4 linked regions of the Arabidopsis thaliana genome follow. The protein of the gene in region 1 interacts with the protein of each later gene in a biochemical or structural test. Each region holds a gene or a part of one and is shown in the gene's direction. Other genes may lie near its edges. The genes, in order: CBL3, CIPK9, AT4G34840 and SIP4.

Region 1 (4,781 bases):
GCCTCAAGATCCGATCTTGGCACCAATCCTTTCAATTCTATCGCTTGGATGGTATCAGAGCTCATCGCTTTACTTTTACAGATCACTGTGATAACATCCACACTAGCTTTGTCCAAAAACGAGAGGCCTGTTTGGCCGATGAGGTTATGGATCACTGGCTACAACGTTGGATGTCTGCTCAATCTTATGTTACTATACGGTCGGTATCGTCAGCAAGATACTAGCCATGAAAATGCATTTAGCTTCGGCGATATTGAGCAGCAACAAAGAAGCAGGGAAGAGACCACCAGGTTACTAACAAAAATCTAGTTTTTTCAAGTTTGATCATAAAATGCAAAGATTTCTAGGAAAATGACTTATTTTTGTGTGTGTTTTAGGTGCTCGCATTTGATGAACAAATGCCGGACATCGCTGGAGCTATTCTTTGCGATATGGTTTGTGATAGGTAATGTATGGGTTTTTGATTCTCGGTTTGGTTCTTTCCACTATGCTCCAATCCTTCATGTCCTCTGCATCTCCCTACTCGCTTGGAACGCTCTCTGTTACTCCTTCCCATTTCTTCTCTTCCTCCTGCTCTGTTGTGTTGTACCTCTCGTTAGTAGCTTCCTCGGCTACAACATGAACGTTGGATCTTCGGAAAAAGGAGCTTCAGATGACCAGATCTCCAGTCTCCCAAGTTGGAAATACAAACTCATTGATGAAACTTCTGATTCTTCTCAAGCAAACAATGATCCGGTAAGCACTAATTTGAATTCTGAAATAGGTCAAATAGTCAGAAATCAATCTTGATATCAAAACTGAAACCCACCGGTTTCATTATTGCAGGAATGTTGTATATGTTTGGCAAAGTACAAAGAGAAAGAAGAAGTGAGAAAGCTTCCATGTTCGCATAGGTTTCACCTCAAATGCGTAGATCAATGGCTTCGTATCATCTCGTGTTGTCCTCTTTGCAAACAAGATCTCCCTAACTGAAAAATCAAAACAATACATGAGTCACAAGATTGAATCTCTGACCAAGTACCATATATGTGTTTTTTTTTTTTTCTGTTGCCGCCTAAACACGTTTACTTGTGTGAATGTCGTTATCATTCCTTTTTTTTTCTTGTGTACAAAGTAGCTCACCAGTAACTGTAATTTTACCTAAAAAAAAAGTTAAAAAACATGATCAATCTGTTGTTTTACCAGTAGAGTTTGTCCCTCTCTTACCATTAATCAAAGTTTTAATTGTTGGTTAATGTAACTAAGCTTATACTGGTTTTTGCTATAATATTTTTTCCAAAGACAATTTAAACCGAATTCAAACCCAGAGACCAAATCAGACCAAAGCAACAGTCAGAATCCGAATAACATGACACGCCGTCGTATAGGAACGATTATTGAAACGATGGTGTTTAAGACAGCGCATAAATGGACACATGCTCCACTAGACGACGACGTGTGAAAGTGAATGTAACAAGGAGTTTTATTACAACTGTATCAACATCGAGTAAAAATAAACAAAATTATTTATTTTTTAAATTTAAAAAGTATAAAAACGCCAACAAACAAAAATAATTTGGTCTTTTTCTTAGCATATTTAAAATTTTGCAATATATTCATTCTGCTTATAGAAAATCGTGTCGACCTTTTTTCTCTCACTTACCCAATAAGAGCTTTTTTCGCGTTTTCCACCGCAACCACCGTCACCTTCAACCGCCGGAGCCGCCGCAAGGAAGGCTCATCATCCGCCGTGGCGTAAGGCTTTTTCTTCTTCTCTTTCTCCCTTTTCTACGATTTCGCGGTCGGTCGCTTCCTCGTAATCTCGTGTGTTTATTCCGGGAAAATCGCGATGGGAAACAAGTTAAAATTTGAGATTGAGAATCAAGCAACTAATTTCTTCGCAAGCTGATAGATCCATGAGCTGATTACCAAGTTTATATAACGAGATTCATCGTTGTTGTATCTCTGAATCCGAACGATTTGGAATCTAAAACTCATTGGATCGCTTTTTCTCATATCCGTCATTTCTCCTTAGCTTAATCACTTCTCTGATTCATATCGCGATTAGATTCAGGTGTCGATCCTCAGAGGATTATATTTTCTGACGATTAATCCGTCTGGATAGTTTTATTATGTTCTTCATGATGCATTTTTTTTCCCCGCAAAATTCATGATGCATTTCTGACGTGAAATTGGGTGTTTTTGATTCCTCATTTTATCCTAGTTCATGTATTTTTTGGGGCTGTTTCTTAGATTTGGGTTTCGTGTTTTAGCTTAAAGATAGTTCCTAATCCATGAATACATTGGTTAATCTGGAAATGAATCTGGAGTTAAGATTAATGCATAAAGTTTACGACCGTTTATAATATGCGTCTCCTCTGTTTGTGTTTCATAGTATCTGGTGCTTTAGTCTAATTCAGATCTGATCTGAGAATGATGAATCTTGTTTGCTCCTGTCAATTCTTCTTTAACTGTTTTGCAATTTGATGAGCTAATAACTGACTATATCTCATTTCCTTCCCATCGCAGAATTTTTTGAGGTGTACAAAGCATTGCCTATTTGACGAACCAGGAAATGGTTAAAAGGTACTTATCTTGTTCAAATGCATATGTCTTTAGATTCTTCCAAGTGGTTCGAAAGTTCTTACATTTTATTGTTATTTAACAGGCATGGAGAGTTTTGATTTACAAGATATATCATGTCGCAGTGCATAGACGGTTTCAAGCATGTATGCTCCTCTTTTTTCCGGTGTTTTGATATCGATATTTACAAACAATCTGGAGGCCTTGGTGACCCTGAACTTCTTGCGAGAGAGACAGTTTGTATGCTCTCAACTTCTTTTCCATCTTATTTTAACTTCCATGCACTTTTTTTTTCCAGTTATATGTATGATTCAAAGGCTTGCCATTACTCTAGTTGATGCTCTCTGTTAAGAGGAATGCAAATCTTTCTTTCTGTGTTTTGATCATTGACTCGTTTGGGTGCAGTTAGCGTGAGTGAAATAGAGGCTCTCTATGAGCTGTTTAAGAAAATCAGCAGTGCTGTGATTGATGATGGGCTAATAAACAAGGTATGAAGGAAGGGCATCATTATATGTCTTTTATGCCACTCACTTATACTCCTCACGAATCATGCATATTGCTACGTCTTTTGGACATCCTTTTCTGATTTTCCTTGACCTGTCTTGTCGTTCAGGAAGAATTTCAGTTAGCCTTGTTCAAGACAAATAAAAAAGAGAGCTTGTTTGCAGACCGGGTATGTTCTTCTTTTTTAATCAAAAGACTTTGTTATCCATTTGCCAAGATCCTTTTTGAAAGATAACTTGACAGTACCAATCACAGGTATTCGATTTGTTTGACACAAAGCATAATGGAATACTGGGGTTTGAGGAGTTTGCGCGTGCTCTCTCTGTCTTTCATCCAAATGCTCCCATAGAAGACAAGATTGACTGTACGTCTTTGATCTTACAAAGTTGATCTGAGAAACCATCTATACAATTTATCTGATGTTGACATGCTACATGTAACCCATGAAATATCACTAACAGTTACCGGGAACATTGTTTTGCAGTTTCGTTTCAGCTATATGATCTTAAGCAGCAAGGTTTCATAGAGAGGCAAGAGGTGAAGCAAATGGTGGTGGCTACTCTTGCTGAGTCCGGCATGAACCTGTCAGACGAAATCATAGAGAGTATAATCGACAAGGTGTGGTTCCTTCCTACCCTGCTCGATACTATATTCTTGTTCCACTGTTGTATAGCCAACTCATGATAGCAGTTGAGAATAAAGTAAAGAGTGGTTTCTAAGTTTCTTCTTTCACAGACATTTGAGGAAGCTGATACAAAACATGACGGGAGGATCGATAAGGAAGAGTGGAGAACCCTTGTTCTCAGGCATCCTTCCCTTCTAAAGAATATGACTCTCCAGTATCTTAAGTGAGTTCCTAAACCAAGACTTATCCGAGGTTTAGGCAATGCAACTTCCAATTTTTTCTGTGTTATTATTAACACCGATCTCTGATATTGTGTGCAGGGATATAACAACTACATTTCCGAGCTTTGTGTTCCACTCGCAGGTGGAAGATACCTGAGAAAAACAATAGCATATTAGCAGAGGAGACAATTTGGGAATTGTGTTTGTTTTCTGATTATGTATCATGTCTATTTGTTTCAATCTCTCTGAACATTTTCAAGATTTTGTTGTTACTTGTGTGAATTAAAAGTAAAGAAAACAAATCTGTATTTTTGCTACTCCTGATTTTGATTGCTGATTTTCTCCTCGCATCTGTAGATATACTACTAACCTTGAGACATGAATCCTATTAATAAAGAGCAAACTGATGAAGTGATAATAGAGAGCAAAAAAGAGAGAACCCAACACCAAATGATCGGGTATGCTCTAGTCTGAATTCTGAAGTCAAAATTGAAATCACCGATTTGATCGAACCGGATGCAACATTACAACAATCGGATTTGTTAGTCTTGTGGTTGACTTTGTCAGTTAGAGTTGACAAAGTAATTAGCAAAGTTAGTGACGATTGTGTTCTGCATAAACACGTTTACTTTGAGGAATAAATTACTTACTCTTTCGGTCTTTCCTAATATATATGTTTTCCCTGTCTCAAAGATCTGAATAGGTATCAGAGCGCGTTGACAATCTCTTTTTTTGATCATCGATTTGTTCTCTCTTTCTTGGCTAAAAAGTTTCTATCTACACGACTCTCCATGGATTCAACAAGAAATTCAGCTTCTTCCAACTCCACGGGATGCTTTACGGATCAGAAAAAGCGAAAGGCACTCTAT
Region 2 (5,965 bases), on another chromosome or scaffold:
ATTACTAAATTACTACAAAAAAAACTCCTACAACTCCAAAATACACAATGGTTTAGATTTAGATATACATGTTTTTAGAACTAAAATTATTGAGGTATTTTATAATAGTACTCCAAGTTATAATTTCTGTTACGAGGCGAGAATAAACGTGGGAGAGGAAGGAAAAAAAGGTGCCGTGCGGTGCAACTAGATTTTACATATTTGTACACATATTTCACGATTGAATCTTTCAAGACATTATATGCTTTATCAAATTTTATATATATAACAATTAGATAAGAAACACAATCTGACCCGACTCTACTATTTATAATTATACGTATGAATCTCTAACTTCGTTACTAAAACGGCAAATACTAAACCCTGAAAGGAAACTGTGTGAGAAACAGTTAGGCCCCTTGACCATCTTTGTTCAACGTTGTCAACGAAAAAAAAATGGAACCATAAAGGATAATTAATTGTATCACAAAAAGACAAACACAAATTATTGAATATACCATCACTTATCAGTATATAATTTTATACAAATGCTTTAAATAACAAATATTATGTAGAAAAAGAGAAAAGAAACTTAACTTGGTCAATTTGATCATTTGTGTAAACGATGATGCGGAACATATGCGATAATAATGTTATTGGATGGCAAAAAAAAAAAAAAGTATTTTAGTTGGGCCCTAATGTTAATTCACAATCAAGCCTAAATTTGGTTAATGGGCCAATCTTTCTTATATATGTAGGACTCGGATGTTCGGTCTACTCGAACTATCTACAAACCAAGCTAAACCGAAAGTAAATACAAAATCAAACCAAATAATAGTTTGGTTTATATAGGTTTTAAATTTTAATCCATATAATCCAATAAGTTCCAACTCATAACCAGGAAAATAAAAAAAATGTGGAATGAAGAAGTTCAAATTGATAACCAAATGAATTGCTTTCATATGATGGTGACGTGATGTTTTTGTACCGGACTCAATTATTGGAACGAGTGGTTCATTGTGCATTATTTGCATTTTCTTTTGTTCGTAATATACTAACATATCTAAAAAATTATTGTATCATTATTACTAGTCATGCAATAAATCATCAACTCACACTGTCTGCCACACTTTTTTAATTTTTCTGCGTATTTTGGCATTATCATATGAAAGAAAATAAGAGAAACAAATAAAGGAAAGAAGAAAAATAAAAACATTATCACATTCTGTGAAATCTCTGAGTTTATCAGGAAGGATATGTGGGGTTCATATTCATACCGTTCCCTTTACTCACATCGTCACATGGAAAGATCAACTATTTCAATTATCTATTTATTTATTATCATATACTTTAAATAATCAAATTTAGAACCGTTACAAACAAAAATAAACAGCTACATCAAATTTAAACAAAAGTAAGTATATGCGAATATTATCATAGATTTAAACAAAATTTGACCAAGATATAACAATCATCATTTAACTACCAACATTTGATATATGTATTTATTGTTCTTAGGTAGTTTCCAACTTCTAACTAAAGACAAAAAAAAAAGTTATATTTAGAGAATATTTCTACATGAAAAGAATACAACTATATCAAATAATATGATAACAGTCAACTTTGAACATCAGTAGAATGGAATGAATCACTGAAAGATATACTCATATACACATAAAGATTAAGGACATCAAATCACATCCCTTACAAATAAAACCATATCCACATAAATTTAAAACCCCAAAATTTTCATAAAATCCATATACTTAAACAGGAGTTTCTGTATATAGTTACCACACAAGAACAAAATTATGGAATTTTTTTATATGAATGAAGAATGAACGTTACGAACGTACACAAGTACAAATAACACGGGACTGACGCGGAACAGAGCAAAATAATGATTTTTGACATTACGTGGCATACGGGACCCACAATACGCGCGTGACTCCCAGTCGCGCCTATTAAATCTCTCGCTCGTCCACTTTCTCTCGTCAGCCTTAAAACCAGGCAGCCACTAGAAGAAGGAGAGATATTGAGGGAGAAGAATCACATTGATAGATTCGCCGCCGATCTAGAGCCGTTGATTTTCTTAATCGGAAAAAGAAAATGAGTGGAAGCAGAAGGAAGGCGACGCCGGCGAGTAGGACGCGAGTAGGGAATTACGAGATGGGACGAACTCTCGGAGAAGGAAGCTTCGCTAAGGTGAAATACGCCAAGAACACCGTCACCGGAGATCAAGCCGCTATCAAAATCCTCGACCGAGAAAAGGTCTTCCGTCACAAAATGGTCGAACAGGTTCGTTAATTGTGTTTGGTTTGATCACGTAAAATGATTATGGATTTGTTTGTTTTTAAGTACTATAAAGAACAGTTTAATTTCGTGATTAGGGACCCACATGTCCTCCTAGGTTGGTGTTCGGTTATTAAGGTTAATGTTTGATTAAAGTGTTAACAATAATATTTTAAAATATCGAATTTTGTATGAATGTTTTTGTTTCTGTATATATCTACACGATGCTGATCTTAGTACGCATTGATCAAGATAACTATTAACTATGATATGGATATGGTTTTGAAGTTCGAGTAGCTTTGTTTTTGATTTGGTTCGATTTGAATCTGTTGAAGATTTAGTTTTGTATGCTATATATGTATGATTGGAAGTTATGAGCAAGATCTCGAAGATATAATGATCATAAAGTTTTATTTTTTTGTTGTTGTGCAGCTTAAAAGAGAAATATCTACAATGAAACTGATTAAACATCCAAATGTGGTTGAAATCATTGAGGTACGAAACTAATTAGTTATCATTCCTTAGATATTTTTTAAATTAAGTTTTGAATCTTAGCGTGTAAAACATCTCTCTGTGGTAGGTTATGGCGAGCAAAACGAAGATCTATATCGTTCTTGAGCTTGTCAATGGAGGTGAACTCTTTGATAAAATCGTAAGTAACCTAACTTAGAGAATCTTCCTCTCTTTTCTCTTCACAAATATTGACATATGTTCTCTGTCTTTCTCTCTTCTTACTCTTATGTTAATTCTTGGATTTAAATCATATACATAGGCGCAACAAGGGAGGCTTAAGGAGGATGAAGCTCGGAGATATTTTCAGCAGCTCATCAATGCTGTGGATTACTGCCACAGTCGAGGTGTCTACCACAGAGATCTCAAGGTCTTTCTTTTGTTTTTGTGCACTCTTCTTGTTTCCTGTGATTACGATATTCATTCTTCTTAGTTCTTATTCAAGTTTCTTTTGTTATCATCTGTTCCTTGTTGCAGCCTGAAAATCTGATCCTTGACGCAAATGGGGTTTTGAAAGTCTCTGATTTTGGGTTAAGCGCCTTCTCACGACAAGTTCGGGTAATGCCATTATATTTTTCACTTGGCAATTAATTTCTGATATATATAACCAAGATATCAATTTGAATGAAGTGTTCTAAGCATTGTTCTTTTGAATGCAGGAAGATGGTTTGCTTCATACAGCTTGTGGAACGCCAAACTACGTTGCCCCTGAGGTATTATGTACTAACTTTCAGCACTTAAAAAGGCAAAGAATATGAAATGTTCTGTAGATCCTCTTTGGAAAATAAGATTTTAAGGAATTCAAGAACTGCTAATACGTTTTTAAAAAGGAAGGAAATCTAACAAATGCTATACGTATATATAGACTTCATTTGCAGAATCTTCTTTATTTATGATGTATATAAGAGATATGCCTTTAATGTTGTCTACTGCATTGTGTTGGATTTGCTGGCAGGTTTTGTCGGACAAAGGCTATGACGGTGCAGCAGCAGATGTCTGGTCTTGTGGTGTCATTCTCTTTGTGCTTATGGCTGGTTACTTGCCTTTTGATGAGCCGAATCTCATGACATTATACAAACGTGTACGTGTAAATTATCTCTCCCTCTGCTTCTTGATCTTCTGCAGTACTTTTCTAGTCTCATCTTTGGTGTTTAATATATACTTTAGATATGCAAGGCTGAGTTTAGCTGCCCACCATGGTTCTCGCAAGGTGCCAAGAGAGTCATCAAGCGTATTCTCGAACCCAACCCTATTACCGTAAGTGCCTCTTACATGAAGTAATAGTTGTGAAAATGTGAACATGACATGCTGCCAACCATAGATTGTGCAAGAGCTTAAGTATGTACTTATTTCTGAAATGCAGAGAATAAGTATTGCAGAGTTGCTCGAAGATGAATGGTTCAAGAAAGGGTACAAGCCGCCATCATTTGACCAAGATGACGAGGACATAACCATAGATGATGTTGATGCTGCTTTTAGTAACTCCAAGGTAAACACCGCCATTTCCAAATTCTCCATCTGGTTGTGTATATCATAGTTCGGTTTAAGTAAACCAATGTATTGTTACCAACTAATATCACTCTTTTTGTGCTGCTACTCTAGGAATGTCTTGTAACTGAGAAGAAGGAGAAACCTGTATCCATGAACGCTTTCGAACTTATCTCTAGCTCAAGCGAGTTCAGTCTTGAAAACTTGTTCGAGAAGCAAGCGGTAAGAACTTTTTTCTACTTACAGTTTGTCTTGATTTTCTAAAATCATGCATAGGTTTTATCTAACTAAATCTGATTTGTTGTTGTTTGCAGCAACTTGTGAAGAAAGAAACGCGGTTTACTTCTCAACGATCTGCGAGTGAAATAATGTCGAAAATGGAAGAAACCGCAAAGCCATTAGGCTTTAATGTCCGTAAAGACAACTACAAGGTCTGTTCTTCTTCTTCTTCTTCTTCTTGATTTTGTTTGTGTCAACTAATGTCTTTGTAGCTTCGTTAAACATTGTTTAAGTAAACTTCGCAGATAAAAATGAAAGGAGACAAAAGTGGTCGTAAAGGTCAGCTCTCCGTAGCTACAGAGGTAAGAAAGAAAAAAATACTCCGGTTCAGTTCGGTTTTTGGATTTTGATGAATATCGTTATCTAATTGTTATGGTTTGGTAATCGGTTTAATAGGTGTTTGAAGTGGCGCCATCATTGCATGTGGTAGAGCTTAGGAAAACCGGTGGTGATACCCTCGAGTTTCACAAGGTATGTGATTCGGTTTGATCTTCATCAAAAACCGGTTCGGTTTTGATCCGGTTAACATCTCTAGTTTAGTGTTTAAATTGGTTTTATGTTTGAATCTCTTTTGCAGTTCTACAAAAACTTCTCATCTGGATTAAAGGATGTAGTCTGGAATACTGATGCAGCCGCTGAAGAACAAAAGCAATAAGAAATAACAAGTTGTTCAATTCAAAGTTTTTAATCAATGTTGAACATGTATAATGAATAGTAAACATTCTGGAGTTGGCAATATACAAGTATTGCTGACAAAAGAGCCAAACTAGAACTAGAAGTGGTCTATAGAGGTAGATCACCATAGGTTAGTCAATAGCCACATATGTGATCATCCTCAAACTCGGTTTGAAACCTATAAATCAAAGTTCAAACAATTCAATTAGGCAAAAAATACTCTGCAAGCTGGCTATTTGAGTATAGTTGAAAGTTGCAACGATGTTGTCGCTTTATGGCAACGCGTTACAATGACACAACATATATAACAATTTGGAAAACACAATGATAGAATTATTAAAGAGAGGTTATCTTAGCTACATAGATCTACGTTTGCAACCAAAAAAAAAAAGTTTTATTTTGATGTACAGTCACACATTGATGACGGAGTGGTTTCTAGTGAGGAGTTGGTGTTGAGCAGACCAACGTTAATTGCCCAATAAGTTGTGTGAGTTGTCTAATCTTTCAAATCAAACAGCCCGTAAAGCCCATAAAGTCGCAAATTTCGCATTCCAAAGTTTTTAAGAATGGAGAAACGTTCAGATTCAGAGAGTGTAGAGATTTTGGGTGATTGGGATTCACCTCCTCCGGAAGAAAGAATCGTAATGGTTTCTGTTCCCACTTCACCAGAATCTGATTACGCGAGATCGAATCAACCGAAAGAGATCGAATCTAGGGTTTCAGACAAGGAAACAGCGTCGGC
Region 3 (4,374 bases), 3.2 Mb from region 1:
AAGAATTAGCAGTGACAGAAGAGGAAGGAAAGGAAAGCCAAGATTCAAACCAGATAAAACTTATTACCTTCCATCTCTAAGTAAACGGTTGTAAGCATCACTAGTTTCTGGAGAACGTCCATTACTATTATGTAGCTCAAAATTTCGAGCAGGGAACTGGGGCATGCTTTCATCAATTTGGTGACCCACATGCTTCCCATCACTTGGAAATTTCCAGTCTCCTTTAACATCTTTCCTAATGTGGGATACACCACCGTTACTGTGTGCCACAAGGTTTTCTTCTTGCACATCACCTGAAACGGAAATTAACTTTAAGGAAACATTGTAATGGATTGGCAATGCAAGCTTCTTAGAAAGCAAACATAAGATTGTGTCAAATCTGACACAGTAAGTACAACATTGTCAACGTACCAGTAGCCTGACCAGAACTCTGTCCTGGGAACTGAGTATCAATTACTCCATTGTTCTTGTGGTCCAGGAATAAACTATTAGTTGCAGAAGTAACAGCAGGAGAGACGGCTTTAAGACTTGGCAACCGTGATGACTTGGCTGATGAATGATTAGACCCATAGAATGTGTGAATCTCTTCTCTCTTACTCTCGGCAAAGATGCTGTACTCGAGAGGCTTCTGGAGCAAACCATTGTACTCATACTCTAGAGCACGTGTATCATCTACCACCTGTGGAGAAGCAATCGAATGAATTCCCACCACTGCCTGTGAAAAATCATGCTCCAAACCCTTCTGATCTTCGCTATTTCCAACTTGTTTTTCAGGTGTTTTTACTCCAAAGGTAGCTGATTCCAAAGCAACAGACCCATTAACAATAGAAGATGAAAAGGATTCATCTATTAAGGTATGTGCCGTGGCAACTGTGGTCACACTAGCAACAGCAAACTGAGAATCCTCAGCTGAAACTGAATCATAATCCATCACAGCAACTTCATGGATTTGATGAGCCTTTTCTTCCTCCAAAAGATTCACACTTTCTTCCTCTACCTTTCTGAAACCTACATTTATTTCCACAGGATTGCCTTCATGAATATCTCCATGAATTTCCCGCCGATTCTCAGCACTATTTTTTCCGCCATGAACCGTTGCAACCTGAAAAGCTTAGCTAGTCAGAACCAGAATTCTTATCGAATTTTACAAAAAGTCAGCAACTTTATGCACTCTAATGAAACAAAACTTAAAAATTAGTTAAAACAAGCAAAACCCTTCGCTCAGAAATTTCAGTTACCTCATCGGAAGATTTCCGCTTCCTGAAAGTACTTTGGCAATAAGCGAAAGCAATGGCAGAGAACGCAGTGACAGCAACAACAATAAGAATCAAACCAGAATCGATAGAAGCTCTAACAACTAAACGAGGCGATCGAATTGAAGAACGACGAGAATTGCGTTTCCCGGCGCGAGTTCGAAGATGAGGAGAAGGACGGAGACTATGACAACAACCAAGAAAATCACGGCGGAGAGTAGAAGCCGGAAGAATCACCGGAGAGTACGAAGTTAAGGTAAGGTATTTAGAAGATCTGGTAGTGGAGATGAAGGTGGTGGAGGTAACCTCCATTGGAGAGGCTTAGAGAGAAAACGATTAGAGGATAAAGCTTCAGAGAAGGAAGTGAGGATATGAAATAACGAACGACTCTCTTCTTCGCATTGTGGACCCCTTGCTTACGTGGCATAAACGGCCGTCAAGTCGTCAACGTTGTTTATATTAAAAAAAACATATTTTATTAATTATGCTAAAATTTTATTGGGCCTGGGTCCGAGTAGTGGATAGGATTCGGGTCGGATCCGGGTTTTTGTTTTCCGGGGGAAATCTAGAAATTTGATCTTGACGAATCGCCGGCGACGGATTCTCAGACGCTGCTATGGAAGGTGTTATGGGTCAGGTAGAGAAACGGCCGATTTCTACCATCGTCTTCATCGTTGGTACTATTTTGTCTTTACTATTTCTCGAATTGTGATTTTTTTTTCTTCTTCTAATGGGTTTGTGTATTAAAAGCTATGCAAAAGGAAGCTCAGCCTCTGATCAACAGATTACGCCTCGTTGAAGAAGTTAATACTCCGTGAGTTCTTTGACCTCTTTCAATTTTTTATTTTGATTCGAAATCAAATGTGATAGCTTTTTTGTAGGTTTCCAAAAGAGGTGACTTGGATTATGTTTAAGGGAATGTATAAAGACTTGAACATCAATATAGTGTGTCCTGGAAAAGATTCAACTCTTGGTATGTGTATCCATGTGGTTAAGTGATTGTAAGTGAAATAGTGTTTCAAGATGTTTTGTGAAGTTCTTGATGTTAATTCGTTTTTCAGGGGTTGAGAGTGTTGGCACAGTTCCTGCATCACTCGTGACTTATGCTTCCATTCTAGCAATTCAACCAGACTTAATCATTAATGCGGGAACCGCTGGTGGCTTTAAGGTATCAACATTACAAATTTCTCTACATAGTTCTCGTTTCATGCCTCTTATGTGTCAGAAATAATGAACACCCTTCCTTGTTTTTAAATGGTCTTTTCAGGCCAAAGGAGCATGTATTAGCGATGTTTATGTTGTCTCTACTGTTGCTTTCCATGACAGAAGAATACCTGTTCCTGTAAGTGCTCCTTTGTATTGTTCATGTATCAGTATGAGTTGCAAAGTAAACCTGATGTTCTTGAGTGTTATACTTGCATTCTAATTCCATATATTTTTGCCCTTTCCTAAACATTTTTATACTTTCTGCAGGTCCTTGATATATATGGTGTTGGTATGCGGAACACCTTCCCCACACCCAACCTTATAAAGGAGCTGAACCTAAAGGTGTATACTTTATTAGTTGCTCTGAGTTCACCATTTGATCCTCATGCAAGATTTTGGTTATTTCTTGATATGGTTTGCATAAGTGGTAGATTTATGATTTAGTTGCAATGTTCCCAGGTGGGAAGATTATCCACTGGCGATTCTATGGATATGTCTCCACATGACGAAGAATCCATCACAGCAAATGATGCTACAGTTAAAGATATGGAGGTCAACAATCCATAAGTTTCCTGTGTTGATGTACCTGGCTCCATACTATGTGTTTGTCTTTGTGTCTTTATCAGTTACTACGACTTATTTACGGATTCTTGGCATTTCAGGGAGCAGCAGTGGCCTATGTGGCTGATATCTTTAAAGTGCCTACGATTCTAATAAAAGGTGTGACTGATATTGTGGATGGCAATAGACCAACTTCTGAAGAATTTTTGGAGAACTTAGCTGCAGTCACTGCCAAACTTGATGAGTCACTTACCAAAGTGATTGACTTCATCAGTGGGAAATGTCTCTCAGACCTCTAACAAGTCATACGTATTAAGTTTCATCTGTTCAGTATGTGCATTGGGCGAAGAAAGCATATGAAGATTCAAGCAAAGGGCGTAGGTAGGGAATAGGTTTGAGCAGAAATTTCAACTCTTCACCTTTTCTCATTTGTTCCTCTATTTCTTTTTGCTGTCTTTCTATTGATGATCCATCATACATGTAGAAACTCAGCAAATTTGATACCCAACAACAGAGTCATAATTCTTTAATATCAATTTCGAATGATTGATGTTAACAGAAGAAAAAATTTAGTTAGTTTCTCTTTCATTCTTTTTAAGTGTGAAGATGTACAAAACAACTATAACTATAACACACCTTTGTGTTGGCTTTTAACTAAGCCTAAAGACTATGTATCAAGAAAAAAATCTCAAAGAACTGGAGTTGGATTTTAGAAAGAGCCAATGCAATAAACATGAAGCTTCTAAATCTCACACCTACTCTTCACCAAATATCAACTAGACAGAAATACCGCACAATATGCAGGTCACAAAACTGCAAAAGCTGCAGTGTATATATATGCCTTCACTTTGAACCTTATTTACAGACCCAAGATTTGAGTCTTCAACAAACAGATACAAATGGGAAGCATCGATGCTGCAGTGTTGGGTTCAGAGAAGAAATCAAACCCGGGAAAAGCCACAATTCTTGCTCTGGGAAAAGCCTTTCCTCACCAGCTAGTAATGCAAGAGTACTTAGTCGATGGCTACTTCAAAACCACCAAGTGTGATGACCCTGAACTCAAACAGAAACTTACTCGTCTCTGTAATCTCTTCATTTTAACCTCTGTTTTCAACTTTTTATCTCATTCTGTAAGCTCCTGCAACAGCAACTGAGGTTTGTTTGAACTGTTCGTTTACTATATACAGGCAAGACAACAACGGTGAAGACAAGGTATGTTGTGATGTCAGAGGAGATTCTCAAGAAGTACCCAGAACTTGCCATTGAAGGAGGATCCACAGTGACGCAGCGTCTAGACATCTGCAACGATGCAGTGACCGAGATGGCAGTAGAAGCCTCCAGAGCCTGCATCAAG
Region 4 (4,127 bases), on another chromosome or scaffold:
AGTTGTACATGCCATGATCTTTTATAATATATATACTCACATATATACATTATATATATGAATTATATGCATGTTCGTAGTTATATCTTGCCTCTACTCCAAATATTTATTATACATTGACATGTTGCTAGGACAACCTCAACGTGAAACTTTTGCTGATAAATTGATTGATGATGCTCGTATAGACGATATGACGTTCTTAGCATATGATTTCGTATATGGTGACATAATTCATGAATAATATCAACATTTGGTGTCAAAAGGAAACATATTTCTTGTCTTCTTCTTCAACGTACTTGCTTATAATGAACAAAAAATAAAAAAACGTACTCGCTTTCTAATAAGTATCACATAGGTTTAGGCTCATAAACATATGGACTAACATAAATAAACCAAAAGCCCAATAACATTACTCTTAGCATATACATATAAGTAAACTATTAACATCTGTCTGCGGGACTCGTTGATTTCATTTAAATTCTGTAGTCTCAGCTCGTTCAATTTAATCTATTCGTACACACTGATAATATTCAAGAAAACATATGCTAACGTATAACGTATTACGTATCCAAATACACCTTACACCACTCACACATAGCCCATATATAAAAGTTTGAAGGATTTAAAGTCGCAGACTCGCGGTCATTTTTTTTCTTTAAAGTCGCAGTCATTGACTGACTGATTCTTCTTTCTTATTGAAAGGTTTTTTATGTAAAGACGAAAGTTTAATCAGGATGTGAATATGGTACGGCCCATGTTCTTTATTCCTTTTTTTTTTTTTGGTGCAAAGTTCTTTCTTATTCTATGTTAGAAAAATAATCAAATTACCGACGCGAGCAAAGGTTATTATTTCCTGGCTATTAGTCTATAACTGATAAATAATTAGTCAATCAGATCAAACAATAGAGAAATAATTAGTCTGCAATCAGCGATTATTAAAAAATAAAATAAAATAGAAACATATCTCAGCACCGATTTTTCAACAGCCGGCCCACGATCCAGAACCGTCCAGCTTGAAGCCGGCGCCGCGTCGACTTGTTCCACCGTTCGGATATTGCCACGTGTGTGAGAGACACCTGCCATTACCTCGTGGAACATGTTTTGTTAGTATAAGTTACTAACCAAGTCGCTATCTTCAATTCTTCATTACCTAAGAGTTGAATAAAAAAACAACCATATACGATGAGACACGCAAATAACTGATATACGAAACAATTATTTATTGATGTACATTCTTCTAACTATAATACTACAAGATTCTGAATAGTTTTAGATGTAAAAAGTACGAGAAGAGTTATGATCAGAGTAAGTTAAGTGATAAGATCATGACACGTAGGCAGAGGAAATAAAGTAGAAACTATCGACAACATAATAATTGAGTGAGTACAAAAACCACGTAATAATTAGGTGTACACTGTAGTCTGTAGATCGATTGTACAAAATGAAAAAACTATATGATTTAAGGAACTAGATATACATATGCATCGACTCAAGAACAGTTGCTTTATGTGAAGACTATCAATTACATTATCGGCTAAATTTGGCTTCATGTGTTGAATAGATGGATTGTGTGCTCAGGTAGTTGTGTCAGTTAATTATAACAGTAAACCTTCACTGCTTCACATATATAAAATTTGGGTTAAAAAAACTTTAACATTTTATTTTTTTAATTGACAACAAACAAATTCTGTAACGGTTACATATAATAGTGCTTCAGTTAAACTCCTTTTTTAGGCAACTCTAATTCCTTTATACCCTTAATCCATTATTATTCTATCGAACTTATCTTTTTAAAAGCTTCCGCGTTACGCCATCACTTCTCCACCATTTAAATACCTAAACCACTTTCTTTCAAATTTCTTATTCCATAAAAAGTAAATTCACAACAAAACCAAAAAAAAAAAAAGAGAAGAAGAATTAGCTTACGTGTTCATCACATCTGCATTACGCGCAAACGAAACAGATTCAAATTCTCCGGCGAAGTTTTCTTATTCATCAATCAATCTCTGGATTCATCAATCATGCCAGAGATCGAGATTGCCGCCGGCAGCGGCGACAACAACGACGCCTTATTCGGTAAATATGAGCTCGGAAAGCTTCTCGGATGCGGCGCATTCGCCAAAGTCTTCCACGCACGTGATCGTCGTACCGGCCAAAGCGTCGCCGTGAAAATCCTCAACAAGAAAAAACTCCTCACAAATCCAGCTCTAGCCAACAACATCAAACGCGAGATCTCAATCATGAGAAGATTATCTCATCCAAACATCGTCAAGCTCCACGAAGTAATGGCGACAAAATCAAAGATCTTCTTCGCAATGGAGTTTGTTAAAGGAGGAGAACTATTCAACAAAATCTCAAAACATGGACGTCTTAGCGAAGATTTAAGCCGGAGATATTTCCAGCAACTGATCTCCGCCGTTGGTTATTGCCACGCTCGCGGTGTTTACCACCGCGATCTCAAACCAGAGAATCTATTAATAGACGAAAACGGAAACTTAAAAGTTTCCGATTTCGGTCTAAGCGCGTTAACGGATCAGATCCGACCCGATGGGTTGTTACATACCTTGTGTGGTACTCCGGCGTACGTTGCGCCGGAGATTCTATCTAAAAAAGGATATGAAGGTGCTAAAGTTGATGTATGGTCTTGTGGAATCGTCTTGTTCGTTCTCGTCGCCGGTTATTTACCGTTTAACGATCCGAATGTGATGAATATGTATAAGAAGATTTATAAAGGAGAGTATCGTTTTCCTCGTTGGATGTCTCCAGATCTGAAACGATTCGTTTCTCGTCTTTTAGATATTAATCCTGAGACTAGAATCACCATTGATGAGATTTTGAAAGATCCTTGGTTTGTTAGAGGAGGTTTTAAACAGATCAAGTTCCACGATGACGAGATCGAAGATCAGAAAGTGGAATCGTCACTAGAAGCTGTGAAGAGTTTAAACGCGTTTGATTTGATTTCTTACTCGTCGGGATTGGATTTGTCGGGATTGTTTGCTGGTTGTAGTAATTCGAGTGGTGAATCGGAGAGGTTTTTATCGGAAAAGTCGCCGGAGATGTTGGCGGAGGAAGTGGAGGGGTTTGCGAGAGAGGAGAATCTGAGGATGAAGAAGAAGAAGGAGGAAGAGTATGGGTTTGAGATGGAGGGGCAAAATGGGAAATTTGGTATCGGGATTTGTATTTCGCGGTTGAATGATTTGCTTGTGGTGGTGGAGGCACGGCGGAGAGGTGGTGATGGTGATTGTTATAAGGAGATGTGGAATGGTAAACTCAGGGTTCAACTTATTCGCGTTTGCGATCAGACGTCGTCAACAAACGCGGCTATTTAAAAGAACGCTATGAAGTTTTCTACCGTGCTTTCAATTTTAAAACGCCAATCGCGTTTCGTTGGTTGGATTTGGTTTCTACTACTTTTGTTTCGGAATTAAAAACAGAGAAAAAATAATAAAAATTAATGTATGTATTTAAATACTGTACCAAATTGTAGGTATCTATTTTGTGCTTTTTGATCAATGTGTTACTATGTACAACAACAAGTCTAAAATTGCATTTGTAGATACTTCACTCTTTTGTATAATGTAGAAAATGTTCTTCTATTTATAGTTTGGATTTTCCAATTTTACACATTTGTACATAACTACTTTTTAAAATCAACCATGCAAATTGTATTAAGTTAAAGTGCATGATAACCAAATCAGATTAATAACCAATGAATTGAAAATAAAAAGTAGATAAATTACTAAAATAAAATAATCTCTAAATCGCATAAACTCATCTAAACTCTCAAAAATCCATACATTACACATTTTTTTTTTTTTCAAAAAGGCTTTCAATTCTATACATTTTTCTGCTTATCAAATATGGCTTCTTCACTTTAATATTTATGTATAGAATTGAAAGCATTTTTGAAAGAAAAACTTTGTGTAATGTATTATTGAACAAATGAAATGATTGAAATGGGAGTTCCACATCCAGTGAAGAAAAAGCATTAAAAAGTATGTATAGAATCAGGGAACTTCAAAAATTGAAATCTGCAGCTTTATAAAAAGAAAAGCTATTATTGTCTACTTGATTGGATATTACAACTCAAAACGAGTGAAGGTTAAGGAATCATTATCATTATTAAA

Evidence for each region.
Region 2: the proteins of CBL3 (region 1) and CIPK9 form a complex in vitro, tested with the Arabidopsis thaliana proteins (one study listed by BioGRID).
Region 3: the proteins of CBL3 (region 1) and AT4G34840 form a complex in vitro, tested with the Arabidopsis thaliana proteins (one study listed by BioGRID).
Region 4: of the proteins of CBL3 (region 1) and SIP4, one has a biochemical effect on the other in vitro, tested with the Arabidopsis thaliana proteins (one study listed by BioGRID).

Annotation. Positions count from the first base shown.
Region 1 is NC_003075.7:13,407,896-13,412,676, reverse strand, and holds CBL3 (calcineurin B-like 3), read left to right. Parts: upstream 1-1,606; 5' UTR 1,607-2,053; intron 2,054-2,508; 5' UTR 2,509-2,565; intron 2,566-2,647; 5' UTR 2,648-2,678; coding exon 2,679-2,802; intron 2,803-2,967; coding exon 2,968-3,050; intron 3,051-3,175; coding exon 3,176-3,235; intron 3,236-3,309; coding exon 3,310-3,430; intron 3,431-3,550; coding exon 3,551-3,684; intron 3,685-3,801; coding exon 3,802-3,914; intron 3,915-4,011; coding exon 4,012-4,069; 3' UTR 4,070-4,255; downstream 4,256-4,781. Other genes in the region: AT4G26580 (RING/U-box superfamily protein), read left to right, coding at 1-290, 378-735, 826-972; CBL7 (calcineurin B-like protein 7), read left to right, coding at 4,704-4,781. UniProt on the Arabidopsis thaliana protein: Acts as a calcium sensor. CBL proteins interact with CIPK serine-threonine protein kinases. Binds calcium ions. Binding of a CBL protein to the regulatory NAF domain of a CIPK protein lead to the activation of the kinase in a calcium-dependent manner.
Region 2 is NC_003070.9:63,636-69,600, reverse strand, and holds CIPK9 (CBL-interacting protein kinase 9), read left to right. Parts: upstream 1-1,975; 5' UTR 1,976-2,088; coding exon 2,089-2,277; intron 2,278-2,703; coding exon 2,704-2,766; intron 2,767-2,851; coding exon 2,852-2,923; intron 2,924-3,043; coding exon 3,044-3,151; intron 3,152-3,258; coding exon 3,259-3,339; intron 3,340-3,440; coding exon 3,441-3,494; intron 3,495-3,736; coding exon 3,737-3,862; coding exon of another isoform or gene 3,863-3,868; intron 3,869-3,948; coding exon 3,949-4,038; intron 4,039-4,144; coding exon 4,145-4,270; intron 4,271-4,383; coding exon 4,384-4,491; intron 4,492-4,583; coding exon 4,584-4,700; intron 4,701-4,793; coding exon 4,794-4,850; intron 4,851-4,944; coding exon 4,945-5,031; intron 5,032-5,125; coding exon 5,126-5,203; 3' UTR 5,204-5,434; downstream 5,435-5,965. Other genes in the region: AT1G01130 (CBL-interacting Serine/Threonine-kinase), read left to right, coding at 5,790-5,965. UniProt on the Arabidopsis thaliana protein: CIPK serine-threonine protein kinases interact with CBL proteins. Binding of a CBL protein to the regulatory NAF domain of CIPK protein lead to the activation of the kinase in a calcium-dependent manner. Involved in K(+) homeostasis under low-K(+) stress.
Region 3 is NC_003075.7:16,604,430-16,608,803, forward strand, and holds AT4G34840 (Phosphorylase superfamily protein), read left to right. Parts: upstream 1-1,792; 5' UTR 1,793-1,869; coding exon 1,870-1,930; intron 1,931-2,003; coding exon 2,004-2,067; exon of another isoform or gene 2,068-2,134; coding exon 2,135-2,226; intron 2,227-2,314; coding exon 2,315-2,421; intron 2,422-2,520; coding exon 2,521-2,595; intron 2,596-2,726; coding exon 2,727-2,801; intron 2,802-2,918; coding exon 2,919-3,011; coding exon of another isoform or gene 3,012-3,026; exon of another isoform or gene 3,027-3,121; coding exon 3,122-3,319; 3' UTR 3,320-3,863; downstream 3,864-4,374. Other genes in the region: MRL1 (Pentatricopeptide repeat (PPR) superfamily protein), read right to left, coding at 68-293, 412-1,102, 1,239-1,565; LAP5 (Chalcone and stilbene synthase family protein), read left to right, coding at 3,920-4,103, 4,208-4,374. UniProt on the Arabidopsis thaliana protein: Enzyme of the methionine cycle that catalyzes the irreversible cleavage of the glycosidic bond in 5'-methylthioadenosine (MTA) and S-adenosylhomocysteine (SAH/AdoHcy) to a lesser extent, to adenine and the corresponding thioribose, 5'-methylthioribose and S-ribosylhomocysteine, respectively.
Region 4 is NC_003071.7:12,936,467-12,940,593, reverse strand, and holds SIP4 (SOS3-interacting protein 4), read left to right. Parts: upstream 1-1,759; 5' UTR 1,760-2,021; coding exon 2,022-3,329; 3' UTR 3,330-3,615; downstream 3,616-4,127. Other genes in the region: CHAL (allergen-like protein), read left to right, coding at 1-17.